Struthio camelus: one gene and its partner. The protein of the gene in region 1 purifies or fractionates together with the protein of each later gene. This does not show direct contact. Links are inferred from orthologs where the notes say so. Each region holds a gene or a part of one and is shown on either strand. Other genes may lie near its edges.

Region 1 (15,551 bases):
ACAATAGAATATAGTCTAAAAAAAAATCGGCACTCCAGATTCACTGCAGGAAACTGGAAAGCTGGCAGCCCTGAAAATTCCACTTCTTTGATCCACAGTGAAAAAGGAGGGTGTATGAACTCACCCTCGTCTACTTTTCACTTTCTTCAAGGAAAAGGGTTGTGCTGATTCAGGCTCCAGGCATGGCCCAAGAACATTTTCTTACACTCCCCATACATCAAATCTCTACTTTTTAAAGCAGATCTCGAGATTTTCTCTCTCTTTACTTAATTCAATTCGTTATAGTAACAGACACCTCTTTGTTGCTTGTCACTCAAGTATTTTAAGCATTCTGGATCCTGCCTCGTTTTAAACTTGTTTCTAAAGGACTCAGTTCTGGCCTTCAACTCTTTGTTTTCTTTCAAAATCTTATTGAATGAGTTGTGCTCCGCTGTGTTCACTTCAAGGACAGATTGCTTTCTTTTGTCATCATAACTCTTATTCTGAAATGTCTGAAACTTATAATCCAATGCAAAAATAAAATTCTCTTCTCTGTTCTGTTCCATTTTTTGTTCTCCTTAATAGCATCACGATGGCTGCGCGCTTCAGATAACCACTGGAAGCTACATGCTGTGGGTAACAATGCAGAAAACGATGCTGAATACTGGCTGGTGATAGCTTAGGCAAGAAAAGCTGTTAGTGCATTTTACTTGGGAACGTCCAGGCTGCAGCTCTACTTTAATAGCTCCTGCTGCGACGGGGATTGACAGCTGCCATAGGTCTGGCCCCTCATCTGCACTGGGGCCACATTAACAGCGGCAAGCAGTGCCTTCTCTAAAACATTAAAGGTGAGCATGCGTCGTGCTAGTGTAGGTATTGTGTAGAAAACCTGCTCCCGCTTCCACTGAAGTCAACGGGAAAGTAAAACAGTCTCGGAGTCAGAGCTGTCCTTTCTTTACTCTTATTTAAATGCCAACCAATGTTTTATGTGGTCGTTTATTAAATAATAATAACACAATAATGCCCAGAGGCCCCAATTACGACTGGGAAGTCACTGCAGTGAGATTGTGCAAACGTGAAGGAAGGGACAGCAGGCTGGGAACGGGACGGCTCCCCAGCAGCGGAGAGCACAGCCTGGAAGTCGGCTCCTCTCGGCAGGCAGGAACAGCTTCTCCCAGTGCTCCAGGTCACCGGGAGTAGTCAGTCCTTTTGTTCGCGTGGGAGTTTTGTGTTACTTTGGTTTTCATTTTTTATTTGTTTTGTTTTTTAAAGTTAAGATATAGAATAACCAGGAAGACATACAAAGAGGTTTTCTTCAAAGTAGCTGAGCACGCAAAGGGGGAAAAGAGTGTATGTAGATGTGTATGCTAATTTTTATTAATTAAAACCAGAATGCTGCACTGCAGCTGTGCACAGTCTTTATTAGCTAATATTAAAAAAAAAAAGTGGCGATTCTCCTTTCACAAAAATCTAACCTTGGCAAAGCTCTGTTCACTTCAGTGAAGTAACTCCTCACTTTACAGCTATGTAAAGGTGCACAGGATCAGGGCCACCTATGAGCACAGGATCAGGGCAGGACCCCTCAGGAAGGACCCAAATGCTGATAACAAAACAAAAGGACAAACATAAGGCATATGGGGAGGACGATCCTAAGGAGCGGGATAAGAACAAGTATGTTGCTCTTGGCAGAAAGCAACTGGCAAAAGTTAATTGCATAGCCAGCTTCTCGTTCAGTTCTTTCTGCTTTGTTATGAAACAGGATTTTTTTTTTTTATTATAGACGAATGGAATACATTTCAGCCAAGGAATCTGTGCTGGATAGGCTTTATGGCAGAAGTACATTTTATAGGGAGAGATTTGAACGAGGACAGCGTGGATTTGGTTCACAAGACCGAGGCCTTTGTTCCAGACTAAAACAAAAAGGGCAGCATGAATGAAAGCCCCCAGAGGAAAGCACGAGGAGGTAAGGAAGGAAGTGATTAGAGGAAAGCTTGGGTGGACCAGAATGTGTGGCAGCAAAGACACAAACGCTGAATTAAAGCAGCAGCAGAACAATGCAGGGCCCTGAAGGTGCAGCCCGAAACTGAAGGGAAGAACAATAGGCAGCCCACAAAGGGGGGACGAAGGCAACAATGAGGAAAAGGGGAGCGGAGGGTGGGTAATGAAATCGTTCACTGCTAGAATGGGGAAAAGAGACACCCTGAGCTGAGGTTTCGAAAAGGAGAAGTTTAAGATTCCCTAGCGGAAGCACACACATAGTTTTTGTCAATTTTTCTTTTTTAACGAATTGAAAAGGTAAGGGAAAGGTACTGCATGGGCTTGTCACAGGTGGGCAGAGGTGTAGAAGCAGATGGGGTGAACTGATCCAACGTGGAGAGGCAGGTTAAGACATAGTTGTATGTTGATGGCACAGTGCACATATCAGCCAGGAAACAGAAAGGACCCCAGAGGTCAGCCACAGAGGCAGAGAGGTTTCTGAAAACAAAATGTTGGAAACTATCTGGAAAAAAAAGAGAAGGATGGAAAAGGCAGGTAAAATACGGGAAGAGAAGTTCAACCCTTAGTAAAGGATCTGGGAAAATAACGAGTTTTAAGTCGTCAGTTCTTTCTTGTTCTTTGTGAGTCTTTGAGAAAAGTGAGTCTAATAACAATGACATTTTCAGCTGGTTTCCACTGAGCTTACACGCAAAATTTCCACAGAAGCAATAGTTTTGCAACCAAAAGTATGTACTGATTTCTTCAATGTGCACACCAAACTTCAGGGGTAGGTCTTGTGAGTGAACAAAATAGAAGTATCTAAACCCTCCTCTAAGTTTGAAGAAACGTCTGCCTAGCAAGTTCAAGCGTACTTAAAATATAGTTCTGAAAACTGAGAGTATTCCCAGAGAGGCTCTACATACAACTGTTAACGTTCCCCACAATGAAGCTACTTTACAAAGAAATGTTGTTTTTTTCCTCAACTGCCATTACTGCAAAAACCATCTAAGATCTCTAGTTGCATTTTGTCTCCATTATACACCCTGGATGACAATAAAGATTTCTGCAGCAGGAGATGACTTAAGAACCTGGTTGAGGCTCTAAGAGCTATTGCCCCTCTCCCCAGCCCATATAATTAGTAGGGAATAGTTAATACATCTTGGTCATCACTGTGTTTTATGTTAGTTTGCTCATTAACATCCTGGCATGGAAGAAATACCTGACCTTCACTACACCTGAGCCTTACACAGTTGGGTGAGTTCAGTGAGAACCTGGGCTCCCGTCCACCACAACAGTTGAGCGGCAGTCACACAACTGAGAGGATGTTTGGCTTCAGTGGCTCTTAATTCACATGTTTAATATTACTCACAGGATTAATATTTGGCCTGTAATTTTTTCCATCATTCCAGTTCAATGTATTCTTAGGTGACTTGATTCTACCCTGAGGTTAGTAATAGCATACTGTTCCTTTATTAGTATAATCACTCATGAACAATAAATTGTCCTATAAAAAAATAATGAATTTTTTTTTTGAAAGAATCTCTGCAGATAAGAGTACTCTTTCTTTCTGCTAAAACAGTGGCAGCTTTTGAGGATCAAGAGGAAAGCAGAGTTTAGTTTCATTCAGTGCTTTTCAAAAAATTCATGCAGGGCACCTCCAATGTGCAGTTTGAAAATGCAGACTCCTTATACTCTGAAAGTAAGCAAACAAGGATAAAAGATAACAAAGACAGGCATGACAGAAGTTTTTATTTGTGTACTGAAATGTTCAACAGGGCACGTTTGGTAGGGAACGGCATGGGTGCGCAGGGCATTGGGGAATAAGGAACTCTGCTTTAGGTTGCAGTAACATTCCCAATTCTCCATGATACTGCCCTCCGTACACCTCATTACTCTGGTGAACCTATTCAAGGTCATGACTGACAAAAGATGGTTGAAGTGCGCCATTCTGTACTTTGCTAATACCAACACCTTCCTGAAATTGTAGAGGTAATATCTGCAGTAGGTAGAGCTGTAAAATTTTACTCTCTGCTTCCTAATTATTCTATATCCAGGTCTGTTAACACAATTCATGCTTATACACCAGTGAGTTTAGCAATTTTCCCTTTATAGCCTCAATGTATTGTCCTGAATACAGGTGAACTCACTGAAATGGGTTATTGCTGCGCTTCACCTTCTTGCAAGTAAAAAGTTTAGCTTCACTGTGACTTCACAGTTGCCACATTCTATTGCAAAATGACTACAAGGACTTTCTGGGTCCCTCCTGACAGTGCCGTGCCATTGGAGGCAACATATTATATAAATCCCTTTACTTATAATAGTAAGCTTAATTTAAAGACCAGCCAGATTTGATTTCGATTCTTTTTATTTCTACCCATACTGCTGCTACTGAAAGACTGCTCTGGAATCCCCTACGGCTGGTAGTTATAAATCTTTCTGTGATTTCCAGTTTGGGTCTAGCGATTACCAGTTCTTGTACCAGCATGGTCCTTAAAACTAAAATAGTTCTTAAAATTCTCTGGAATTTATCTGCTTCTTGTGCTTTATTTCTTATGACAAATCATAAACTTCAACTGCTATTTGGTTAGGCCAAACATTCCTTTAATTTCTTGCAGTAACTAAGTCTTCCATTCCTGTTTTCCTAATTAGCCCAGTCACCTTTTTCTATACAAATTCTACTTTGAATTATTCTTTCCTGAATTTGTATGACTGGAATTACATACATTATTTCAGATGAAATACTGCACCAATACTTCTGTATTTGTGCTAGAAACACCTTAATACCTTCGTTCCTTGCAAAGGATCCCATTTGCCCTATTGAAGGTCACGCCATGTTGCAGGTTCAGAGTTTAACTTCAGGAACGCTTTACCAGCATAAATCAGCACCAAAAGAAGAAGAGCTGACCTTCCCTGACCTCTGGCTTTCATCCCTCCCTCTGTGCATCCTTTCTCTTTTGCCAGCACTCTGTTACTGCACAGCAAAGCAGACTGAGAAAGCGACTGAATTTTTTATTTTGGCTGTTTTCCCCACCTCGCAACTCCTGCACTAATCCCCATTTTCTCAGCTTAACTAATCATTTTTCACTTGGCACCACACAAACATTTCACTGAAATCCGACAGATTTTCTCTACTGCGTTGTGCCTATAAAGCCTACAGGCACAAAGTACCCCTAATACACCACTAAGAAACCTTTGAGATGTATGACCAAACTCAACTGGAATGGCAGACACTGCTAATGTGACTTTTCCTGAATTAGGGTAAGATGGAACAAAGCTCCAGCTTAGCTAACCTGAGGTCATGTGCTTGTGAGCAGAACCGGTTAAGGAGAAATGACCCACCGCGTGAAGTGTCACGTTGTTCCATACGTGGGAGGAATACGGTCAGACAGCTTAAAAGAAAAAAGGACTGGGATGTGGACTCTGCACAGAATGGATAGGATGTCTCAAGGAAAAGGAAGAGGAAGCAGAGTCAACATAGGACATAAAGAGAATGAGAGGAAGACAGCAAAAAACTCAGAACAATGGAGGAACGGAGCGATGGCAGAAGGAAGGAGATGAGGACAGAAGAAAAGATTAAGACCAGCATTCAGGCAACGAGCATTTTCATCGTGGTCCCAAAGCAATATACTAAAACAGTTATTTTCTCACCCCAGTCAAAACTGTACAAAGGTCATAACGTTGTCCCACATCTGGACATGTCTTTTCAACAGGTGTCATGCTTGAAGTGCATATCCAGTAAAAAACAGTACAAAACTAGCGGTAAATAAACTATGCCCTGCTCCTACAATTAATGAAATTAGCTGATGCTGTTCATTTAAAAATACTCTCATAACACACAGATTTCTAAAGACACCCTATGTAGCACAAAATAGGACACTGCAAGCTGGTTACATAACAAGTAAGTAGAAGAAAGAACAATATAAACAGTGGTTTGCAGCTTTGACCCTATGGTGTTTCCTGCCACAATGAAAGTAAAAACACATGTTCCCTGACAACCATCAAACAGTGTCACTGCTGTTGGACATTTTGCTGCCTTAGGGCTTGTCTACATGCAAAGCTGCATTGGTTTAGCTGGGTGTAATTTGCTGCAAAGGGCTGTGTGAATTCTTATTTTGACTTAAATCAGACTCATTTCAGTTTAGCTCAACAAATTAAAGGTCAGCTTTAGTTACTCCCCTAAAGACTGAGTAACTCTTGATTAGGACAATCATGTTTCTAATCAATTGCTTACAATTATAGTCCTGCCTGCCTCAGCAAAAGCTTGCTTTCTAGTAGCTTATCTTGATGAAGTTTTGCCTGCTTCCTCAGACTGTCTTAATTGACTTAAATTGCACCTGAATGCTCTTTAGGATCTGGTGTCACTTGAGCTAATATATCTGAATCTTCTCTGTTTCTGAAGGCAGAAAATGCATATTAAACAGCACAAAACTGAAGTTCAATGGGAGAGTGATGACTATTCTAAAATTTGGTGGTGTTTTTTTTTTTTTCCCCCCCAAAAATTGCATGCAAACATGGGCACATCACAACACAGAGATGAAGACAGAACTGGCTGTTTTAGTCCTGTACAGGCACAGAGCATTCTACACTACAGAAGCGCATCATACCTGTGTCAAAAGACAGGCAAGATTTCCTTAATTCAAAACCTGTAAGAGCAACTTTGCCTCAGTCTTCGTGGGTGAAGTGCTTGGTCAGAATACCAGAATGTTGCGTGAACATGAGGGAAATTTGCTTGTTGCTTAGGGAAATTTAATGGAAATTGCAAATTAAATGAATGGAAAAACAGCCATCATTATTCCAAATAAGAGCGTCCACAGAAGGAGTTATACCCATATAACAATAGTAGGACAATTATAACACTCTAACAATGTCAGTACATTTCCTTAGCCTTGTTATGGAGAACCAGAACTTGTCTTAGTTTTAGAAGGGCTTGTCAAATTCCTCCTTAGTAAGGAAATATTTTAAGTACTTCCTCCACAGAGGAAAAAAAAATAACAGCCAAAAGAATCTTTTCGCTATTTTCTGTAATTAGTTTTAGGCCATGCCAAATCAAGTAAACCTAAGGAAAATTTATCCTAGTTGTTCCAACGTTGTCATGAGCTATCTGTCACAGAGAAAGCAAATTATTAATTACTACTTCTATTTCTGTTGGGCAGAAAGGCTCAGCCAGGTCACCCCACCTCTTACAACCTCAGCTATGCCAAGAGATGCACAACCACTTTGCTAACACGGGCTAAGATTTGTTTTCAGACTGACTGGGTGCTATTAAGGTTTAGTTAGCAATATATGCTAATTAAAGAACATATTACCTGTAAAGCAAAAACTTACTTCCAAATGATATTAAAAAATGAAAAGGCTTAATCAAATGCCCCTAGAAAAAGGCTGGCTTATTTTTCCTAAACCAAAATAATAATAACAATAAAAAGCTGAAAGATTTTTCTGAGGGCATACTCTGCTTCATTTTCCAAAGGCAAGCCTGCCTTTATGCTAATAGTTAAACTCAGAGTTGATACAGAAAAGTCGAAGGTTTTTAGGCCTACCAACTCCTGTTAGCTTTTCCAGAGCGCTAAAATGCAACACGGTTTGTTTCCATTAGGAAGTCGAACCATTCTCTGCCCTTTCCACACAAACCCATAGCTCTTTGAACCGCCTCCCTCACTACCTTCCTTAAGCCAGAAAGCCATTTATGTAAGCAGCAGAAAAATCGGTTGGTGTCACCGAGGTACAACTCCCAGCACAACACGCTTTTCTTTTTCTTTTTTTTTTTTGGCTGGCGTGCCCTTAGCCACAACCTCCACCTGCTCTGCACCTCTGAGCTGCCTCCTGCACGCTCCCTGCTCCGTCCTCACCGCGGAGGCCACTAACTGCCCTTCGCCCTTATTCCGAAGGCAGGCAAGCACCCTGCAGAGACAGAACCACTGCTGGACCGCCTCGGCACTTGCGAAAAAAATAAATAAAATAAATAAGAGAGGGGCCGGGCCGGAGCCTGCCTGGCGGCCGCGGGCAGGCCCAACGGCCTAGCGCCGGCGGCCCGGCTCTCATTCCCTTTGTGTCTCACGGACTCCGGGACCTCCCCGGAGCTTCTCCGGCTCCCGCGGCGGGGGGGGAAGGTACGCCGCTGGCTGGGGCGCCGAGGGTGCCCGTTAACCTCCCTTCCCCCTCCCCGGGGCTGGGCGCCGCCATCCCGCCCACCTCATCCCCTCGTCCTTTAACCCGCACCCCACTCCGCAGCCTCCGAGGGGGGATTTAAATCAGAACCCGGAAGCCAGGGCGGGCGGCGCGAGGCACGGCGGGATTTGTAGTCCCCCCGCCCCCGGCGGGCGCCCGGCCGCCGAGCCGCGGGGCGGGGGTAGGCAAACCACAAGTCCCTTGAGCCTCCGCGGCCGCCGCCGCCCCAGGCGCGCAGGCGCAGTGGAGGGGGCTGGTTTTTGAATCCGCGGCGTTGTTATTGACGCCATATTGCTGGTGTGGGAGTCACAGAGGGAAGCGCTGCCGCCGCCGCCGCTCGGGGCCCTGTCGCCATCGCTCGTCATCGGCGGCCCCGGGCCGGGTAGCCGGGCCCAGCTCCGCGCCCGCCGGCCCAGCTCCCGTCCCGCCACCGGCCGCAGGCGGAATTGGCCCGGCTAGGGCAGGACGGGCGGCGAGAGAGGGGATCCGGCCGGCCGAGCCGGAGCCGCCGGGGGCCGGGGCCGCTCCCCAGAGAGAGGCCGACGGGGAGGCGGCGGAGGCCCTGACGCAGCCGCCCCCTCCTTTCCCTGCCGCCCTCCCTTCCCTCCCCCCTAGTCCGCCCCAGACAGCGGCCAAGGAGCCTCTGGGCAGGGCCGGCTGCCGCCGCCGTCTCCCCTGCCCCTCGCTCCGAGCCCCCTTCCTCCGCCCCGCGCCATGGCTTGCGGCGCCACTTTGAAAAGGACTCTGGATTTCGACCCGCTGCTGAGCCCGGCGTCCCCGAAGCGGAGGCGATGTGCGCCATTGTCAGCCCCGGCCTCGGCCGCCTCCTCCTCCTCCTCCTCCTTCGCCGCCGCCTCCCCGCAGAAATACCTGCGCATGGAGCCCTCGCCCTTCGGAGAGGTGTCGTCCCGGCTCACCACAGGTGAGGGAGGCGGCCCCGCCGGGCCCGGGACCCCCCACCCCCGGGGAGGGCGCGGGGCGGCGGCGGCGGGGGGAGCTGGGCAGGGAGGGGGCCGGCAGGCGGCTGGAGGCGGCGGCGGCGGGGGGAAGCGGGGGGGAGGAGAAGGAGCAAGCGGGGAGGCTGGGGTGTCACCCGCGTCCCCCCTCCAGCCGTTTTCTCTGGGGCTGCGTGGCTGGCAGCGGCGGGGGCCGGGGCGATCCTTGCTCGGCTTGGCACCGCCGCGGCGGAGACACAATAGAAATGGCCGTTTGCAGCAGGAGAGGGGGAGGAGGGAGGAGGAGGAAGGGGGGGCGGGTTGAGCCGATGCGGGCTGGTGGCCATAGGAAGGGGGTCGGCGCGGGGGGAGACCGGAGAAAGGGACCGAAGCGAGGGAAGGGGGCGGGCGGGGTGGGGGGTATTGGTGAGGGAGGCTTGATCCGATGCCGAGGAAGAAGGGGGAGGTCGAGTTTCGGTCGGGGAACGGGCACGGAGGAGATTTTGGAGGAGTGTGGGTTGCCCCCTCCTCCCCCCCCCCCATGGGTGGCTGGATGTGGCAGGGAGAGCCGCAGGGGCGAGTCAAACTGCGGAAATGCTGGGGGCGGTGGTGGCCGCGGCGTGCGCGGGGGCGGGGATGGGGCTGGGCCGCGCCGAGGGGGCCCGGGCCCCGGCCCCTCTGCTCTCCTCGGGGCCCCGATCGATGCGCTGCAGCCATTACCGGCGGCTTGAGCGTTGCCCGAGCCGAGGCGGCGGCACCTCCTCCCGTTGCTCAGACATCGAGGGAGGGGGGCGGGAGGGCGGAGAGCGCGGCCTGTCATCAATCACCCGCAAAAACGCCAGTGGGAAAAAGGGCAAAAGCAGATAAAACAAAGAGCTAATTCCGTTTCCAGCCCCTTAATATGTGTCACGGTCCCGAATGGCCCATTCTGTGGTGTTCCTAAAGTTTCATGTGAAAACCAAGTGATGAAAGCGATTGTGTGCAAGCGCGAGAATTGCCTTTAGGGCAGATAAAATGGAACCGATTAGTGTCTTCCTCTCGGAGACGTTGGGTGAGAAAGAAACCTTTTTATGTTCTGCTCCATGATTCAACTGGTGGCCCTAAAAGCACCAGGTCGGCTGGTGTGATTGTGTCAATTAAAAATCAACCAAATTTGTTTTGCAAGTGAGTACGGACAGGAAAAAAAGGAATGAAACTTGGCAGGGCACACAAAATCGGTTGCCCCTTCCTATGGTTAGTCTGGTCCTTAGCTTCCAGCAATGCACTTGAGAACGTTTATGCTTGCAGTCATGAGCGGTTGTAGTGATGAGGTAAAGGTCTGGGTCCTTTGTGGGCAGGAAAGAGCCCTCTGTAATTGTTATAACTGAACTCCTTTTCCTGTTGCATTCATTACTCATTTTTATGCAAAAGTTGATCCTGGAGAATTGCACATATTTACGAAGCGGTAGGTTTAAATTGCTAAGTCCGTGTGGGACAGTGTCCTTTTTTTGGTATTTAGTTCTGAATAGTATTCAATAGCACACATTTTGAGTTTTTAATCAAGTACCCCCAAAATTGCTGTAGGGGGCCACAGAAAGATACAGAGGGCATATGAAAAACTGTTTTCTTACACTTGACATCAGTGCCTTGACATTTTTTTAAACCTCTGGGAAAAGATGTTGAATGAGTCAGCGGTCAGGGATGAGATTTGTGAGGGATGACACTCCCTAATACAGTGAAGCATTCTATGTACCTTAAGATGCACGTTTAAAACCGTAATGTAATTCTTGATAGAAGCTGAGGTGTTGCTGCACTACAGGGATTTCTTTTGGATTGTTTCATTGGGAATTGGAGGACTTAGGTTATGAATATCTAATAAAAATGTGTTCTGGCCAGTAAGTACGTGTTGCTGAAAGGAAGCAAACACAATTTTCAGCAGAGATATTACTTCAAATGCTGCTGTGGGTATTACCTGTACTCCCGTCTTTAATGTTAATCAATACAAAGCCCTTAAAATCTGAAATGGTTGCTGAAGTTAAACAGATACAGGCCTCATTATCTCTTGAGAAAGAGATAACCGGTACTCTTAGGGGTACAGGTTGTAATTCATCTGAAAATGTGATTATGTACTAACAAGGATTTATTTTCTAAAAGACATTATATAATATAATGAAAGGTAAAGGATAGTGAATCAAGATGTCTCTTACAGTACTGAATACTCCTGAGAAAAGCTTTGCGTGGATGCAGGTTTGCCCATTTACACAGCTTTTGCGTGAAAGCCGCTGCTCGGGTTTTTAATGCAAAAGCTTTATATAGTGCTAGTGCAAATGTGACTGTTGAAGGAGCTTGCTTAATTTTTCTCTTTTGATTAACTTTATTGATATTATTATATTACGTAACTGTATATATGATTCAGTGTGGTTAAAATGAGAGCCTATCATTTTGAAGAGGCCACTTGAAGGATTGTGTGGAATTCATCTCATCTAACCTTGTAAATGTACATCTGAGCTAATAATCTTATTTTCTCGATTGTGAAGAAATGGATGGTTTACTCTAGGGCTCCGACTTGGGATGAGACAAAGTGCGTCTCAGAAGTGTGTGCTTTCCATTGGCTGTTGGAGGAATTTAAATGGCTGTTTCTCATGTAGTCTGAGGAGTCTTCCGCTATGCCTGAAAAGGGTTCCAGTCTCATGTTAAAAGTGATCCCAAATGAGTTACTGTCTTGTTCAGCTTTTATATTGAGAAATTTAGCAACAATAGCCAGAGTTCAGTTGATTTTGCTTACAGTTTTCTCAATATATTACTGTAATGCAGAGATTTCCAACACTTGAAGAAAGAGCGTCTGCCTTAATTACTTTTAATGAAAATTGATGTTCATATGCAACCAGATTTTTGAATGTGAAACCTGATGTTGATACTTTAACCTCAGACTAAAACATTTTTCTTCCACCTGATACTCTGTGTCCTGGTACCATTCAACTTTAACCAGTGGAGAATATGTTAGCACCTCACCTTCTTAACATCTGGTTAATCATTTCAAAAATGAGTTATCTGGAAGCAGAATACAGAAGTGGGGGGCTGAGAACTAAGGATACAGTGTGGAAGTCAGATGAGAAAATAGTTGTCTGTACAGAATGCTCATAAGCTAATAAACTGTGTCTGTTAGAACATTTATTCAAGGTGAAATTTATATTTCACAAGAGTATTTTAATATTTTGGTCTTATTTGAACAGCTGTTAGGTCACTTCCAGTTTCTCAGTGAATTTGGCAGACAAACTGTAATTGTGGCTTCATGGTCTATACTTTCTGAGGGCTTTGTTACTTGAGTTTTTTTGAGTATGTTTGGTAATTTTTGGATACCATTGTTTTCATCTAGGATTATCTTTTCGAAACTCCCTTCACTATGAGCAATATCGAACATGGCTGCCTGATGCAAGATGGCTTTGATATTGAAAGAATAGCTCTTCCTAAGAAATTTCCTGCTTTTTGAATAGTACAGATGAGTTTTACCTTCATCAAATTCTAGCTGTAAAGGAGACTGTTCTGTATGATCAGAATAACTTTGTGTTGGATAGGTGCCCTGGAACTGATGATGCTTTGAGTGGCTGGGTTGCAGCAGGAAGGTAGTCACAAATGTTTACCAGATTGAAAATTTTTCTCTGCAGGGTTGCGGAGAAACCCTAACTTCTGTTAGGGTATGCATTGCCGTATCACACAAGTATGGATGAGTGAGTGGGCTTTATGAGGAGGACTGGACTTGGGCCTGTGCCTGTTGGATAATGCATTGTGTCTTTACAGTCTTCAGAATGCTGTCTTATTTTTAAGCTGTTAAATAGGTTTTCAATGATGAAAAGGGGAAGAAGTGGAGTAATTTTTTTTTTTTTTCCCAATGGGTGTCTTAGAACAGGTTATTTGCAGTTTAACCTTAATGGAAGATTACACTTAGGGGAAAAATTTATGAAGAAAAAAATAAATTAGGTGTGAGAAAGACCACTGTCTGGATATTTCTGATCCTGAAGCTATACTGGGAAGTACTGTCCAAAGAAATGAGGAAGGAGGGAAAAAAAATATCGACCTTAGGAATTTAAATCTCCTAATTCATCATGCACGGTAGCTGAGAAGACGGATTGAGATCGGTAGCTTTCTTCTATACTACTGATTCCACATCAGCGTTGCAGCTAGTTCTTTGTAGAATCAATAGGAGTATTGTATTTAAAAAGAGTTAGTGAAATCGCTTTAAAATCCACAAGCAAATTCTTGCATCTGACCATGCAGTTTTTTTCCTCCATCTGAAGCAGTCATCTGCCTGAATGTTTCCCCAGTAACTAACTGATGTTGCAAACCAAAAGCTGCAGTGGGTGGGGCTATTGAGAAGAGTCCTTCACCTCAGGTTATCGATTGAAATCCAAGCAGAGGTAATGTCAAACATTTGATGGCGTCTGGAAGCTTGGGTTTATGCACTGTTTTGCAGTGGGTATACGTAATTGGTATTTGCTACTTTAATGGCAGCCTCAACAAGTGAGGGCACTGACTGGATAGGTGTGAAAAGTAAGACTATTTCCTACAAACTTATCTCCGAATGGAGGTGTGTTGATTGCTCTGCAGAGCAGTGTGCTGCTACTGCATGCATCTTGTGGATAAGGCTAGCTTTCAGGACTGCTGTTCCTTGTTAATTCAGCACTGAATTATTACCTTCCATGTTTTTGCCTCCAGTCTTCGAAAAAGAAAGTTGCTATCAGGATAAGTAAAAATTGATGAATTATGAAATAATTTCAGTTTGCCGGCAAATGTTTATACTTAAAGGTGACAAATATTTGGTTTTAAGAGTCTCATCTGTCAGAAGAGGTAACTGAATATTTACGAATAGAAGCTAATGGAATTTGTCTTCATTGTATGCTTTGCTCTTTCACAGAACAATCTGAAAAAACATAGGACCTAATTAACATCAATTTTTAAAGTTGTGCAAGAAAATAACTTGGGCCTATTTCAATAGGAAGAAATGTTAATCTTTGCCTTTGACTGTCCTCCTTTGACCTTTGAGTTCCCCTTTTGAGGAAAGTTGACTACTTCTGTCTGAAACTTTCAGTCTTACAGTAGCCAAGTGCAGATTTGAGTTCTAAACGGAACAAGTCTCCTGGCTTTGGAATGTGATGTGTTGGTTTTGTTACATCTTTTTCTGCTTAATTTCTGTTTTGTTAACATTTATTGGCATGTATATCTATCGCTAAATTGCCTTGGCAAGATGCCAAGTTTCTCGGGCTCCAGTACCACAGCGATCATTAGGGGTTTAAAAACAAAATATTCCCACCCCTTTAGAAAAAAGAAAAAGCACATAATGGTTGCATCTGGACTTGCTAATTTAATTTATTGGAGAATTTTCTATATAGGTGCTTGTGGTGACTATAAATGTTGAATACTCTTGGTTTTGGGTGTCATAAAATGTTAAAGCAGTTCTTTGTTTCAGTTGCAAGTCTGATAAATCCAATGTGACATTTTTTGTGTGTGCAGAAAAAGACCTAATTGCTACGTCTAATACATTTTGCATTGCTTGATTTATTTTTCATTCCTCAACCCCTTGATCAGGAGAACTGGGATTTCCTGAAATAACGCATTTGCAAAATAAGCTAATGCATGTGTAAGCTAATGCATGTATCAGACTTGTTATGGAAGAAACAGAACCTTCATCAGTCCGAGACCTTGAGTAATTGGATCTCCAGAGGTGGCCACTTCTGTGCCAGGGTCCATCCAGAGTTTCTTCTGTTGGTTCTGTAGCTGTAGACACTGGCTGTGAAGTGTCAGCATGTGCTCGTTATCAGTGTTTTCTGTCTTAGAGTATAATCCTCTGGGACAAACATAATTTTCACGAGTTTATTACAGAAGCCTAACAGACCATGCCTAATTAAGAAAATAAATTGTAGTGACTGATGTCCATGACTAAAGCAAGAAAGTGAAAGAGGTATCTGGATCATTTTAATTTCTGTCTGTCTGCGGATTGCCTGGCTAAGTAGATAGAATGAGTGAAGAATGGGGTTACCCACTGCTTTGCTGCAGTGCTCTCCTTAGATGAAGTTAGTGTCATAAAATGGATGTTGTGTGTCAATAATCTGGTGGGGAAAACAAAATCAGGAATGTGGTAGCCTCAACTAAATGTTGGAATAAGGGAGATTGGCAAATGAAAACGCTCTACAGCTGAACTAACACTCTGAAACAGTTTTACCTTAAAAGGAGCTGAAATCCCTTGTGTACATCTTTATGATGTATGCTGCTGACATCAGAATAACATTTGATTGATTTACTTGGAAGAAATCTCAGGCATGGTTAAGCTTTGAATGTATATGTTGAATGGTGACATCACAAACTGAAACCTGAGCTTTAGGTTCCATTTCAGGCTGGGAAAACTGCTCCTCTGATTTCAGCCTATTGAGTCACCATCCCACTTGTTTGCCAAAATCTCCTTCAGCTAAATGAGAGAAGCCAAGGACTGAGATGTGAGATGGCTAGCTTAAAAATCAAACC
Region 2 (15,188 bases), on another chromosome or scaffold:
CTTTCTTCACAGATCATGCTAAAACAACAACAAAAAAAACAATTAAAAAAATCAGTAAACCTCATTCCAAGATGTACTTAACACAATACTCCTCTTAACTGTAGCAATAATTATTCTTCTAGGTTGCAAGTTTCCAGGCCTGAACGCTGCATTGAATTTTAGCTGCATTTTTGAAAGGTGTAAACAAACCACGGAGCCCAAAGAAATACAGCAGCTTCACACAGTTGCGCTTCACGACTACTCTGACTCTTTTTTGCAATCTTTAAATCTGTAATTTTCAAGCGTTCCTACATGCAATTTTTTCCCCCTTTACGTATAGCACTCTGCTACACATAATTGACTCACAGATTTCTGTTTTAATGATTTTAGGCCATCTTTCCAACTTTCCCAGATCTTCTTAATTTTCAGTTCTGCTCTCCAGACAGACTGCAGCGCCTCCCCACTGCCATCACCGGTAAACTCACTACCACTGGCTAAGAGCACTGCCTTAAAAGCCCTTCAGGTTTGACGGTAAGCCACCGATAATTGCTCTAAATCGCAGGTTTTCGGCCACCTGTGCATCTCACAATGTTACAAAAATGTATATTTTCAGCTGACAGAAAAGAACTTCGTGGGGAATTCATATTAAAAAAACCTTGCTGAAATCATACCCTACCAGTGCTTTTTTTTTTCCTTTTTGTTTAAGGAACAGGCCAACTCTCCTGTCAAACAAAATCAGATAGATTTAACAAGAACAGATCATATCAAACCGTATTAGCTGTTTAGCATCCTATTATGTTATAGACACTGGCAAACTTTTTAGTGATCTGCTCCAAGAACCTTTCTAGGGATTGAAGTTAGATCGATCAGCATATAGTTTGCTGTCTCCTCTTCTCTTTTTTTCAAAAATTTTTTTTTTTTAAAACTCTTTTTTCTCCTTTTCATTGGCTGGGAGCTTTCTATCTGTACTGCAGATAAATGCAATTCAAATGCATCTCTTCCTAAGCGCTTCTTTCACTTCCATTTTTTATATCTGATACAACAGAAACATCAAGTCTTCCTCCCAAAATAAAATTTGTAAAAACAAAAGATTAGCAACTTTTAATAGAGGGCCTGATACATGGGGCATTTAGCAAATATATTTCATCCCTACTCTGTTTCACCTCTCCATTAAGGAGACATTAATAAAATCCTGCTCTCAAACTGTCCTCCTTCACAACCAAGCTTCATCTACTGCATAACCAGGTGACATAACCTACTAGCTCTCCACCCACAACTTTTCTGAGAAATGAAGGCAGACCAGACCAAAAAAAAATTATTATTAGACAAGCAGGGAGGAATAAATGAGCAGGACTTTCTAGGCAATCAGTGCTCTTCACAGCCTAGCTTGTTAAAGTCAGCCAGCGCCAATTAAGTTCAGCCTAATAGGACCACACTCAAATGATTCAGGAGCAGCTACAGGTCCCTCTCAGTTGTCTCTGCTGGGGGGCAAAGATAAGCACTGGCTGAAAAACAGGCCATGGTAGTTGTCACAGCCAACCCAGGTCAATCCACTGCTGCATGATTGCCAGCACTCCGAACTAAAACAATGCAATTGTGCCAAGACCAGATCCGACAACTTCAGAAGTATCAGAAATTAGGTTCTCTTTACCCAATGTCTGCCCATCCCTTGCGCCTCACAGTCTTTAACAACACGGTCACACACGGTGTTTTCCACAGGACCAGCGTTCATTGGCATCATCAGAGAGTAATTCAGGTTGAAAGACACCTCAGAAGGTCATCTTGTCCAACCTCCTGCTCAAAGCTGGGTCAGCTACGAGGTCAGAGCAAGGCAGAAGACGGAAGGCATTTGCAGATAGGAAAGGAAGAAAGTCTGGAGTTAATAGGAAGAAATATTGAGTAACTACCTAATGTTTAGTTGTAATTTTTACTCACTATATGAATTCAAACTCCACAGTTTCTTTGAAGTCCATCAGCATCCATCACGAAACCAAATGACTGCTCCAGAAGCGTTCACTTATTTTCAGGACACCTTTGAAAACTACAGCTACATCTTCCCCATTTCTCAGGGAAGAACAGAAAGATTACAGTCAAGCTTCTCAAATAGCTGTGGTGGTTTCAGGTATCTCACTTCTAAACACTCATCACAACTTTTCACAAAAGTCAACACGTTTCTTAGCATTTCACAGCGAAAGCAATTTGCTGCTGTGAGTAACCAGTCTGTCTGAAAATCGTGCATCATGTGTCCCAAGGAGAGTGCTTCCTGTTTTGATTTCCCACTAGGACTCCCGGTTAAAAGTTCAGCTCAAGTAATCCATTCACAGGACTTCCATCCACCTGTGCCCATCATCCACTCCACTGGAATTCAAGTTACAATCAAGACACCATCTATAAGACTACAAAGTGTGGGCACATTTGTAAATTGTCCATAATCCCTGCTTCCACAATACTAGGTTATATACTAGGTTATGTCAAAAATAGCCAAGCTGAAGATAGCCCTAGAAATAAATGTTCTATCTTCAAAAAGGGGAAACAGAAACACACAAACTAGACAGACAAAAGAAAGGCGAGTATCCAGTCTGCAGCCATTTGTGTATCACCAGCACAAGAGCCAACAGCTCAGAGACTCAACGCTGTCACTGTAAAACTCAAATTTGTTACATACAAAGAAAAAACAGCGTGCCCTTCCCAATTATAGTGCTATAACATCAGCCTCAGCTGCAAGTATTTTTCAAATGTATAAGAAGTTGGCATTAAAATTCCATATCAGCATAGTTCAGAGGAGCACATTATAGACACTGTTCCTCTTAACAGGTTAAAAGTACGATCCCTCCTTTTGGACAGGCACCATACACCTCATTTAGCAGAGTGGTCACTACACATGTTCCAGCGTTCTCGGAGAATGCTTAGAGGCAAAACCATCTCCAGTACAGCAAGAATTGGAGAAAGAGACCTTTCTTTTTAAATGTTACAGAATTGTTTAAGTCACAGTATGTTAGCCATTGTATATACACATATGCCATAAAAGGTGATGCATGAAGGGCTTAAGTTAAGTGGACAAAACAGGGAATGGGAACGCTATCCCCACTTCACCACCAGGAAGCCAACAGCAGAGTCAAGTCACAGTAGAGGGACATACAGTAGTACCGTTCAACCACCAAGTTGTCCCTTTTACCCCTACAAAAAAATTGAGTAGTCTTGACCTGGCTAAACCCTGCTAGCACAAGGGAGCATGCAATCCATAGCAAGATTCCCCCCTCCATGAGAGCCGATTGCTATATTGGCTTAACTGTATTACACAACCGAACTCCCAAGTGGCTTAAGAAAAGAGGCTAGGGCAGAACAATACTCCCCCCAATACAGTTCCCTAGCAGTCTCTGGATTAAGACCCTCCTGAAACAAATGCTGTATCCATACCAGTATGTTTAATGGTTCTTAATGACTTTTTCCTCCAAAAGTGTCAAATCACATTTAAATTATTTCTACCTGTAATATTCAAAGCATCAACAGCAATGAGTTCCACGGTCTGTAAACAAAAAAAAACAAACTACTACCTTTTTACTTGTTTTATGTTCATTTTTACCTGATGCTACCTTTGCTCTTGCCTTATGAGAAGTCACAAATAACCACTCCTCACTCACCTTCTCTGTCACTTAGGATTTTAGCAACTCCATCTCTGCTAGCTCTTTCTCCGGCTGCAAAGTCAATTTATTTGGTCTTTCTTGGAGCAGCAGCTGTTCCACCCTTCTGCACATCTCTGCTGCATTTTCACTACTCTGCTTTATCCCTTCTGAAAGCAGCAAGCCAGTAATGCATGCTGCACTCAAACCATAGAAGCATGAGGAATTTGCTGTCGCGCTTTGTTCTCTGTTCCCTTCTTACCGCTCCATTTGCCTTGCAGAGCAGCGAATGGACATTTTCAGGGAACTCCCCACACTAACTCTGGCATCTCTTCTCCAAGTGGTAATAGATATTATAGCCCATTACTTTTTAGGTATCATTTGGGCTGTCTTCTCCTCCTCCCCAAACGTTAATTTGCATTTATCAACACTGACTTGCATTTTCCACTTGCACATGCCACCACTCACTTTTGTGAAATTATTCTGCAATTCTTTGCCACCAGTTTCCACTTCCAAACTGAATAGCATAGTACTACCAGCACCACCACTGCTCACTCTTTTCCACATCACTGATGGACGTGTTGAACAGCACAGACCCCAGTACAGCTTCATGTGGGACCTTAGCTATCTCCCTCCAGTGGGGAATATGACAAGTCACTTCTACAAAGTCCTGTATCCAAGCTTTTAATTGGTTATTAATTCAAGACCTGTCCACAGCTGTTTAATTTCTGTGAAAAGTTTCTGAAAGGAAACTTTCTAAAAGCTTTCTGACAAGCCCAGCACTCCTTCAAACAGCACTTCTATTAAACATACATTGACTCTGCCACAAAAATCACATGTATCCAGGTCTACTCGTTCCACTTCTTGACATAATTTTAAGCACTGCAGACAGTGCAAAAGCCATACCTGATGACCTATAACCACCCCAACATCCATCCCTCTATTCCTTACCTCAGAGTCCTTATTAAAAGCTGACCTCACAGTTACTCACCTACCCTTATCTGGTCCCTAAATCACATTAGTGGCAAGTTTTATAACATAATTCATAGCACAGTAATTTAATATTTGAGGGCCTTTAAAACTCCTGGAGATTCATCATGTAGCACTTGCTGCTTAAAGTAAACTGACCAAGTGAGACGTCTCCTACTCATGCTTCAACTTGACATGGATTCTCCAACGTGCCTGCTGTAAAGAGGTCTTCCAACACAGCAACCTAAAGGAATAGCAACATCAGGAATTTAGCTTTTCTGTGGTCCCTGAACATACCTTTTCCACTTCCAACATCTGGTGGCTATGTAAACTCTCTGAAATGCTTTCTGCTTCTGCTATATTTCGTGTCTTTAACAAGTCTTTCCTCAATTTTTCTGGCCTACCTCATATATTTTTCATCAAAAGTACCAACACTTACGCTCTTTTCTAAGGCCCTCATGTTTACCTTCAACAGCTTCTTTCTGCTTAATCATACTAGATTTTTGGTTTCTCTAAAATATTTTTGACAGACACAATCTACATTTCTTTACCCCAATAATAAGGTGTTGTTAAACATTTTATTCCTTTAGCTCCTCTCTTAAGTTTCCTTTTTGGCAAGTTTCTCCATATCAAAGTACAGAAAGGAAAAGATAGCAATACTCTTTCCACGCTCCTTGACTAAGGCAAGAGAGAAGGAATCACAAGAAGCACAGAATAACTCAGGCTGGAGGGGACCTTGGGAGGTCTCTAGTCCAACCTCGTCAACAAAGCAGGGTCAAAAGGATCAGACCAGGTTGCTCAGAGCTTTTTCCGGTTAGGACTTGAATATCTCCAAGGATGGAAACTGCAGAACATCTCTGGACAATCTGCTCCAAAGCACGACTGTCCTCACAGTGAAAAAAATTGCTCCTTATATGCAAACCTCTCTTGTTTCGATTTGTATCCATTTTATCTCATCCTTCCCCACTGCCCTCGATGCCCTAACAACCTCCTCACAGCGTTCAGAAGCTACTGTCAGGTCCCCTCCTGCCCCAAAGCTTTCTCTTCTCTAGCTGATCATCTTGGGGACCCTTCACTGAACCCAGTCCAGTTTACTGAGGTCTTTGCTGTAAAGGGGCTTGCAAAACTGGACACAGTATTCTAGATGTGGTTTAAGAAGTGCGGATGAGAGGCCTAGTAACTACTTTTGATTCCGTTCACACAATCAAGGATGCAGGTGGCCTTCTTTGCTGGCTCACATTCAACTAATCACTAAGATCCCCAGGGCCTTTTCCGCAGAGCTGCTCCCCAGTCAGTGTCCTTGCAACGGGTTCGTCCTTCCCAGGTGCAGAACTTTGCATTTGTCCTTGCCAAATATCATGAGGTTCCTGTCGGACCATTTCTCCAGCCTCTCTACTACCCTCTGGATGGCAGCCCTGCCATTAAGCATATCAACCAGTCCCTCCCCAATGTGGGGTTATCTGCAACCTTAAGGAGAGTGTATTTCTTTGCCTCCTCCAAGTCACTGGTAAAGATGTTAAACAGGACAGGTCCCAAGAGAGACTCCTGCGGTACTGGGATTATGACTGCAGAGAACTGTTGCATGATTTTAGGATATTTGTAAAAGAGAAGGCACAGACAACTCCATTCCTCTTCCCCTGAATATTTCATTGAAGAAGAATGTATCAAAAGTTATCCACAAACCGTAATTTTGTTGCCTTTCTAGGCTCTCAAAGGGACCTTAATGACATCTATCATCAAGAGACTGCTAAGAAAATGTTCTTTTCTGGAAATTTAACTGCTACTCAAACTATCAGACAAATGTGGTTTGCTTTCTTGTGCTAACATTCAGATTATTTAAAAAACACAAGTTGCTGCTGAAGAGCATGCAATGCAAGGCTATGCAAGGCAAGAGCCCTACGGGGCAATGAACCTCTTAGCAATTCCAGAATCACACTACTGTAATGCCATCTAATCACTGATTAAAACCTCCAACAGCTACGGTGGCAACACACAAATTTCCTAGTCGTGCTACAAGGAAGCCTTAATCTGAGAGAGTAACACACATGAAAGGACTGCATAATAGGAAACGTGATCAGTTCACCTTCCTTTCATCACCCTCAGTTTCATTTTCAGGGTAACGTAATCACGATGCTATTCTTGACCCATTTGCACCCTTACATTTTGCCTTCTCTTTACTGTAAGTTTCCTTTGATAGCATTTCTGAACTAAAGCTGTGGAGTAGAAGAACTAGAAAATACTTCATAAACAGCTTTCCTACTTTAAGGTAAAATTTCCAGAAGGGCCCATGCGGAGAGGAGACATCAACGTACACAACTTGGAAACAGGACCTACAACATCTCACTCTTCAGTGCCTAGCTCCTGTAACAGAGGGCTACCAGCAAATTTCCCACTGGCTTTGACAAATTCCACTCTTCTGGGACGGGTCCTAAAACAGGAGCCTATGTGAAATAAAATACAGCCATCAACAACATTTTAAGTGTAGCTTCTCCCAAGAGAAAAAACTAAGTTCATGAACTAGTGTACTGCAACCACAAAAAGGTCAAATGAGTACAGGAAGAACCAGAGACAGTGTTTGAACCGGAGGCACTTGCTCTTTTAAGCACTAGCTTTTGAAAGTCACAAGCCAGTTGCCATCCAGTTCCAGTGTTGCTTATGTCCTTACCACTCCACAGTTAACACTCAAACACCCAGAAGCTCTAATGGAGGAGCTTCAGATTAAGACAAGGGAATGGCTACGTCTGACCATATCCAACCTAAACAAGCCACTTACAGGTGAAGACCTGCAGGACGTGGCCGCACACATGGGCGCGCAAACTTCTGGAAGCAGAGAGGACTCTGCGAGAGCGGGACAGACCCGCTAGACAAAAGGCGCTGGGGGAAGACTTTCAACGACCACTGCGTGAACATCCCGGGGGGATTCTGGCTCAAGTGGAAAGAGGTGGCCAAAGCAGCAGGCCTGCTGCATCGCCAGCCACTCTCAACCCCTCCCAACATCCTAGTAGCAGTGAATTTAGACCGCTCCATCCTTGCTCACCTCCCTTCTCACCTAGCTTGCGAGCAACACATTGTCCAAAGGCTGTCTCCAACCCCGACCAGAGTAGCGCCCAAACACCCTGAAGAAACTGGGCCGTGTGTCTCGGTGCAACACCCAGCAGCTTCCCCAGCAGGCTGAAGCCCGTAGGTGCGCCTGGCAAAAATTAAACACATGCTAACCCGCAGGTGCATTTCCGAGCTGATGCGTAACTCGTTTAAAAGAGACTGGGTGCAAAACGTCGAATCTGTATGAAAACAGCTCCCGGGGTATTTCTGCTTTCCCCGCGGGCAAGAAAGTTGAGGCTGGAAGTTTCGAGCGAGGTGCTCGGCGCTGGGCTCGAGCAGAGACGCCCGGTGCGCTCGGCCGCTGCGCTGCGAGGCGATGGCGGCGCCTCTCCGGGGCGGGCACGGCGAGGCGGCCCCTGCCCCGGGCCGGGCCGGGCCCCGCGCCGCCGGCCGCCCGCCCGCCCGCCCGCCGCGGGCCCTGAGGGGGAGGCGCCGCCACCCGCCCGCGCCCGGCCCGGCCCGGCCCACACTCACCCTCCGTCACCTCCAGCACCTTCACCTGCTCCTCGGCGGCGGCGCGCACCGCCTGCACCGGACACAGGATGCCGGTGAGCGTCTCCACCAGCGCTTCCTTCAGGCCCTGCGCCACCGGCCCCGGCCCGCCGCCGACCGCGCCGCCCGCCGCCGCCGCCGCGCCCGCCATGGCGCCCCCGCCCCCCGCCGGCCGCCGCCACCGCCGCCGGCCGCGCGCGGGCTACGGGCCGCCGCGCGCGCCAAACGCACGCACGCACGCACGCACGCACGCACGCCCCGCCCCCCGCCGCGCGGCGCCCTCGCCGCCGCCGCCGCCGACAGGGCCCCGCGGCCCGGCGGGAGAGGCGCCCCCGCGGCCGCCATGTCGCCCCCGCGGCCCGCAGCGCCCCCCGCCCGCCCGGCGGGGAACTGCGGCGACCGCGCGCCGAAATGGCGGCGGCCCCGGCCCGAGCCGGCCGGCGGGGCCGCAGCCCAGCGAGCCGCGCGGCCCGCGCAGCCCCGCGCCCGCCTGCGGCAGCGCCGCTTCTCGGCAGCTCGGCGGCGGCCGGCAGGAAGCGCCTCCGCGGAGGCGGCTGGTCCGGGGGCGCTGCCCGGGCTGAGGCCTCTGGAGCCGGCAGAGAGAAACGGGGCTGCAAAGGCCCCAGTTAGAGTCACGGCAAAAATTTGCTGCGGTGGTTGGCAACGGGGGGTCAGCACGAGTGCCGAGGGGGCCGCTCGCCCCCGCGGGCACCTCTGCTTCCACCCGCGCAGGGTGCCGCCAGCCCAGCGCTCGGCGCCCCGCCGGCCTCACCGGTGCCAGCGCTGCCCTTGGCCCAACGGGAGGCTTGTGATTTTTACAGAGCTCTTAAGCAGCCCTAAGAGATGGTTTAGCTCAAGCACAAGGAGGAGAAAGCTTGCCATGAAAAGCCGGGGCCATCTGCTAAGGGGCATAGAGGTAGCGTCCTACGCGCAAATACTTCAATTTGGCTTATAAACGCTGTAAATTCACATCTGCGGCTGCTTTTAAAAAGATGCCGCCAGTGCTGCCAAAGCGCCTGGCTGGCCTGGGAGCAGGCCCAGCGCTTGGTCTGGGCGCTGCAGCAGGGTGCAGGGCGGCAGGTTACAAGCGCGTGGCTCAGGTGGGTCTGAGCCGCGGCACAGCTGGGAGTTAATTTAAGCCTCCAGTTCTTGATTCATGTTCGGAGGTTTGAGCATCGCTGCACGTGATATTTGGAGGTAGCAAAAGAAAGCAGAGCGTTGAGGATAACTTCCTGACCCAGGTGGTGGAGGAGCCAACAAGGAGAGGTGCACTGCTAGACCTTGTACTAACGAACAAAGAAGGTCTAGTTGGAGAGGTGAAGGTTGGGGGCAGCCTTGGCTGCAGTGACCATGAGATGGTGGAGTTGAGGATCCTACGAGGAGGGAGCAGGGCAACGAGTAGGACGGCAATGCTGGACTTGAGGAGAGCTAACTTTGGCCTCTTCAGGGACCTACTTGGAGAACTCTCATGGGGTAGGGCCCCAGAAGGAAGGGAGGTCCAGGAGAGCTGGTTAATATTCAAGCATCACTTCCTCCAGGCTCAAGAGCAGTGCATCCCTCTGAGGAAGAAATCGAGCAAAGCGGGCAGGAGACCTGCATGGATGAGCAAGGAACTCCTGGCCAAACTCCAACAGAAGAAGGAAGTCCACAGAATGTGGAAAAGGGGACAGGCCACTTGGGAGGAATACAGGGACGTTGTCAGAGCGTGCAGGGATGCGGCAAGGAAGGCTAAGGCCCAGTTGGAATTAAATCTGGCAAGAGATGTCAAGGATAACAAGAAGGGGTTCTTCCAATACATCAATAGCAAAAGGAAGACTAGGGAAAACGTGGGCCCGCTGCTGAATGGGGCGGGTGCCCTAGTGACAAAGGATATAGAGAAGGCAGAGTTGCTGAATGCCTTCTTTGCTTCAGTCTTTACTGCTAAGGCCAGTCCTGAGGAATTCCAGACCTTGGAGATAAGGCAGAAGGTCTGGAGAAGGGAAGACTTTCCCTTGGTGGAGGAGGACTGGGTTAGAGATCATTTAGGCAAACTTGACATCCACAAATCCATGGTCCCTGATGGGATGCACCCACGAGTGCTGAGGGAGCTGGCGGATGTCATCGCTAGGCCACTCTCCATCACCTTGGAAAGGGCCTGGAGATCAGGGGAGGTGCCTGAGGCCTGGAAGAAAGCCAATGTCACGCCAGTCTTCCAAAAGGGCAAGAAGGAGGAGCCAGGAAACGACAGGCCTGTCAGCCTCCCCTCCATCCCTGGAAAGGTGATGGAACAGCTCATCCTGGAGGTCCTCACTAAGCATGTGGAAGACAAGAAGGTGATCAGGAGTAGTCAGCATGGATTCACCAAAGGGAAATCATGCTTGACCAACCTGATAGCCTTCTGTGATGGAATGACGGGCTGGGTAGAGGAGGGCAGAGCAGTGGATGTTGTCTCCCTGGTTTTCAGCAAGGCTTTGGACACTGTCTCCCATCACATCCTCCTAGGTAAGCTCAGGAAGTGTGGGTTGGATGAGTGGCCAGTGAGGTGGCTTGAGAACTGGCTGGATGGCTGAGCTCAGAGGGTTGTGGTCAGTGGTGCAGAGTCTACTAAGGAGAGTCTAGCTGCAGTGGAGGCCTGCAGCTAGCAGTGTCCCCCAGAGGTACTGGGGTACTGGGTCCAGTCTTGTTCAACATATTCATCGATGACCTGGAGGAAGGGACAGAGTGCATTCACAGCAAGTTTGCTGAGGATACTAAACTGGGGGGAGTGGCTGACACCCCAGAAGGCTGTGCTGCCTTTCAGAGGGACCTGGACAGGCTGGAGAGCTGAGCGGAGATGAACCTCCTGAAGTTCAACAAAGGCAAGTGCAGGGTCCTGCACCTAGGCAGGAATAACCCCATGCACCAGGACAGGCTGGGGATTGACCTGCTGGAAAGCAGCTCTGCAGAGAAGGACCTGGGAGTGCTGGGGGACAACAAGTTAAACATGAGGCAGCAGTGTGCCCTTGTGGCCAAGAAGGCCAATGGGATCCTGGGGTGGGTGCATTAGGCAGAGTGTTGCTAGCAGGTGGAGGGAGGTGATCCTCCCCTTCTCCTCAGCCCTGGGGAGGCCTCACCTGGAGTACTGTGTCCAATTCTGGGCTCCCCAGTACAAGAGAGACAGGGAGCTCCTGGAGAGAGTCCAGCAGAGGGCTACCAAGATGATGAGGGGACTGGGGCATCTCTCCTCTGAAGAAAGGCTGAGAGAGCTGGGCCTGTCGAGCCTGGAGAAGAGAAGACTGAGAGGCGAGCTCATCAATGTGTACAAGTATGTGAAGGGAGGGTGTCAAGAGGATGGGGCCAGCCTCTTCTCCGTGGTGCCCAGCAACAGGACAAGAGGCAATGGGCAGAAACTGAACCACAGGAAGTTCCATCTGAACACGGGGAAAAACTTCTTGACTGTGAGGGTGACAGAGCACTGGCACAGGTTGCCCAGAGAGGTAGTGGAGTCTCCTTCGCTGGAGATATTCAAAACCCGCCTGGATGTGATCCTGGGCAATGTGCTCTAGAGGACCCTGCTTGAGCAGGGGGGTTGGACTAGCTGATCTCCAGAGGTCCCTTCCAACCTTGGCCGTTCTGTGATTCTGTGAAAATGGGCAACCCTCATGCCTTACGAGGCAGGAGCAAGGCAGTTACCGATGGTCATGAACAGTGGGTAAAGCGAGAGCCGCGTGTGCACGGAAGAGGAAAGTGTGCTCTATTTCCATCTCTCCTTTTTTACAACTGTTTATTTAGGAAGTGTCAGCAATTTTACAAATCATTACAAGTACCAAAAAAAGCAATATGAACACATACAAAAACAGATTTCTCACTTGAGGGACATTATGTGGTGATAGAGGTGCATTTTGGCACGGTACTAGCAGGTCCCACTCTTCTTGGAGCACGGTACTCCTGGGGATGACTGTTTGGTCTTTATTCCTCTTCAGCAAAACCACAGTGAAACTGTTGACAGTGATCCATATATAAAAATAGCCCAATACAGTGGGTGAGTCTAGTAAGTGCTATAAAGAAGTCATGCTAACCCCGTGTTTGGTCTGGCTGTGATAGGCACTTGTAACTCCTTCCCTATAGGTCTCTTACAACTTAGACTCCCTCCAGCATGAGGGAATTTCTGTTTTGAGAGAAAATGTGTCATTATCCTGGTCACTCTGTCAGGGTTTTCTTTCTGCTGTAAAGCTACATGAGGGTTATCGAATGATCACCTGGCAATAAACACGCAACCATTAAGAATATTTGGTTATTAGTCTTTTCCTAGTGCTATTTAATAAATAAGCGTACCTTGCTATTTGTGCCCAAGTCCATGCTCCCGTAGAGACATACTTTCGCCATCCACCCATTACTCTTGTTGTGTGTTTTGCTGTATTCCGAGTCAGCTTTGCGGGCCTCCTCTGCACTGAAGTCCCTTCCACTGGGATAAATGTGTCCAGTGAAATTTTCCCCAGCAGTACATTTTGAAATGTTCTTGTCAAGAAAGCTGCAAGCAAATTCTGATATAAAGCATGCATATCAATTCTGGAATTCTAGAAAAAGTTTTCTACAAGTAGAAACGACAACTCAAAATACTACAGAAACACAAGCCTGGCTGTCCTGTCCTCTGTGTGTGGGCAGTGGTGTTTAGGACCTGCTTCCATTGTCCACAGCTCTCGCTTACAGTGGCTGGGCCTTAACTGCAACCGCGCCAGGCCCAGGTAGTTGCTCAGAGCGCGGTAGCTGCTCCAGAAGGTGACTCTTGACATTCGAAACAGGCGTTCAGTGGAGATTGCTTGACTCACTCTCCAGACGCTCCTCTCTCCTTAGACTAGATGTTTTCCAGACAGCTGCAGTTAGGTAAAATGATTCCACCACAACACCAAGTTAAAAACATCCCAGCGCCATGAAATTAGCTTTTACTTTCTAAAAGAGTTAGGAAAACTGGGTTGGCATCTTTCCGCCTAAACTAAACTGGGCCAGAGCACAGGCTCAGGCAATGCCCAGCACTGTTTCAGTCCCATGCCAAAAAGCGCTCTCCCAGGCAATAGCCAGCGAGTTGGGGACAGCAGAGATCATTCCCAATAAGCGATACAGGCAAGACTATTCTGGGTTGGTATTTTTGAGCAGACTTCTGCAATATGGCTACAAACCACGCCACAACAAACGCATTCACCAGCAGAGAAGAGACCCTGTCTCTTCTTAATTATAGGCACGACCATGATGTGCCCGTACACCCTTTGCCTCCCTGAGCTTCCACATTCCTTGCTAGGGCTAGAGACGGTGAGGAGATGAGGGATGACTTTTCTCTCTTGTGCTTCCAAATCCAAAATACTGCTTCTACTGGAGGACCAAATACATGTTTATGCAGGGTGTAGCTTTCACAAGCCCAGGGTAATCTAGTCATCTTGGGCCTGTCCTAATATTCTGGTTTAGTGGACTCCGTAGGTAAATTCCCACTGCACTAAAATCAATGATACAGTTCTAGGACTGTTTGACCAGACTTCCCTCTAGTACCCTTGTTGCTGTCTGGCTAACACTGTAACAAGTGACCGTCCATGTGTCTGTATAAAGTACTTATGATCATTTTTGTCCCTTCTTACTAACGAGAGCTGTGTTTCCTCTGTATTTCTATGATTTTGCAGAAAATGAGGATGCAGTTTGGGGATAGGAAGGGTATCCCCAAAGCATGGTTTATCTAGCCTGTGATCCTTCTTTTTGTCCAAGCCACTGTACAACCGCTCTGAATGCTCCAGCTTGTCCTTCCATTTGTACAAATAACATTTGTTTGAATCTTCCAGGCTTTTTCAGGTTTGAAGTCCCACCTGTTTGGTACGTTGCATGATCTCTTCACGCACAGTATCTGCGTACATACTTCCTCCAAAGCTAGCAAATGTAGAGCTCACATTTCAAGTGCCATATTATTTTGCTTCAAAGCTAAAAGTGTTCTTCCACTTATCTTTTCTTTAGACGTGCTTTAGGGATATTAAGTTCATTCTCTGCAAAAGATTATAGTCTTAGCGTGAAAAGATATTTTACAACGAACTCATTTCTTCCTGTGTTTCAGTTCATGGTTAGCACAGGGGAAGCCTTTGAGCTCCCCTGTGGACCTGCACTACAGAGGACCCCCATGGAAAGATGCACAGCTGATATGGGACTGGTGTAACGAGCAAAAATCCTCCAAAAGAAGTAAGGGCTAACACAAGGGGCAGAGACAGCATCAGCCTGAATGAGGAGGATGAGACATTACATGATACATAGGCACACTGGCATGTTTGGTGGGGGGGGAGCGCGCTCCAGCGTCTCCAGTACGCCAAGGAAATCTACGCCTGGCCAGTCCCCAGCTGGATTAAGATTTAACTTCAAGCAGCAACAAGAACATGAAACCCCAAATGCCCAACAGATACTGAAGCAGCCTACGCGCTCTACAAACATTCTACAACACTGTTTTATCCTTAATAAACCCTGTGTGATGGAGAGCTCATCAAGCTAACTGCATATGCTGTAGACAGGGAGCTACCATTTTTACTGCATTTTACAAAATAGATGTTTGTAAGTTTTTAGATGCCTAGTTCTCATAGATTCAGGAGCTGAGCCCCCACGCTGTTAAAAATCTGACCCGGTATTGCAATTCAAAACTCAAGGACCTTTAAAAACATTACTGCAAGTAGTAGGTTTGACAAACATTTCAGAACTTGGAAAATTTGAGATACGTCAGGTGCTTTCATATACAGATGACGCTGCACTTTTTTTTTTTTTTATTTGGGGGTATGTCAATGTTTCTTTCCAACCATATTTAAGCAAACATTCCTCGCTTCACTTTGAATTTTGGAACCAGAAGCGTATCTCGTACTCCTTTGTTTTCTTCATAAAACATCTGCTTGTTCTACCCAAGTTCTTTTTACTGGAACCCACTGATGCTCATGTTCCATTTTTGTTTGTCTCACATAGAAGCTATATGTTCAACCTCGGGGATTATTAACCTAGTGTGACTGCTTTATCTCCTGTTCTACATCTAGTTTTTATTCTCTTCTTGGTGTGGGA

What was found.
Region 2: the proteins of AKIRIN2 (region 1) and IPO9 purify together in Homo sapiens (affinity purification with mass spectrometry; 3 studies listed by BioGRID and IntAct, counting the BioPlex papers as one, with this or other methods). This does not show direct contact. The link is inferred for Struthio camelus from reciprocal best matches to the Homo sapiens genes AKIRIN2 and IPO9.

What each region holds. Positions count from the first base shown.
Region 1 is NC_090944.1:49,341,032-49,356,582, reverse strand, and holds the start of AKIRIN2 (akirin-2), read left to right. Parts: upstream 1-8,381; 5' UTR 8,382-8,835; coding exon 8,836-9,043; intron 9,044-15,551. UniProt on the Homo sapiens protein: Molecular adapter that acts as a bridge between a variety of multiprotein complexes, and which is involved in embryonic development, immunity, myogenesis and brain development.
Region 2 is NC_090965.1:2,998,407-3,013,594, reverse strand, and holds the start of IPO9 (importin-9), read right to left. Parts: upstream 8,314-15,188; coding exon 8,145-8,313; intron 1,784-8,144; exon of another isoform or gene 1,631-1,783; intron 1-1,630. UniProt on the Homo sapiens protein: Nuclear transport receptor that mediates nuclear import of proteins, such as histones, proteasome and actin. Serves as receptor for nuclear localization signals (NLS) in cargo substrates.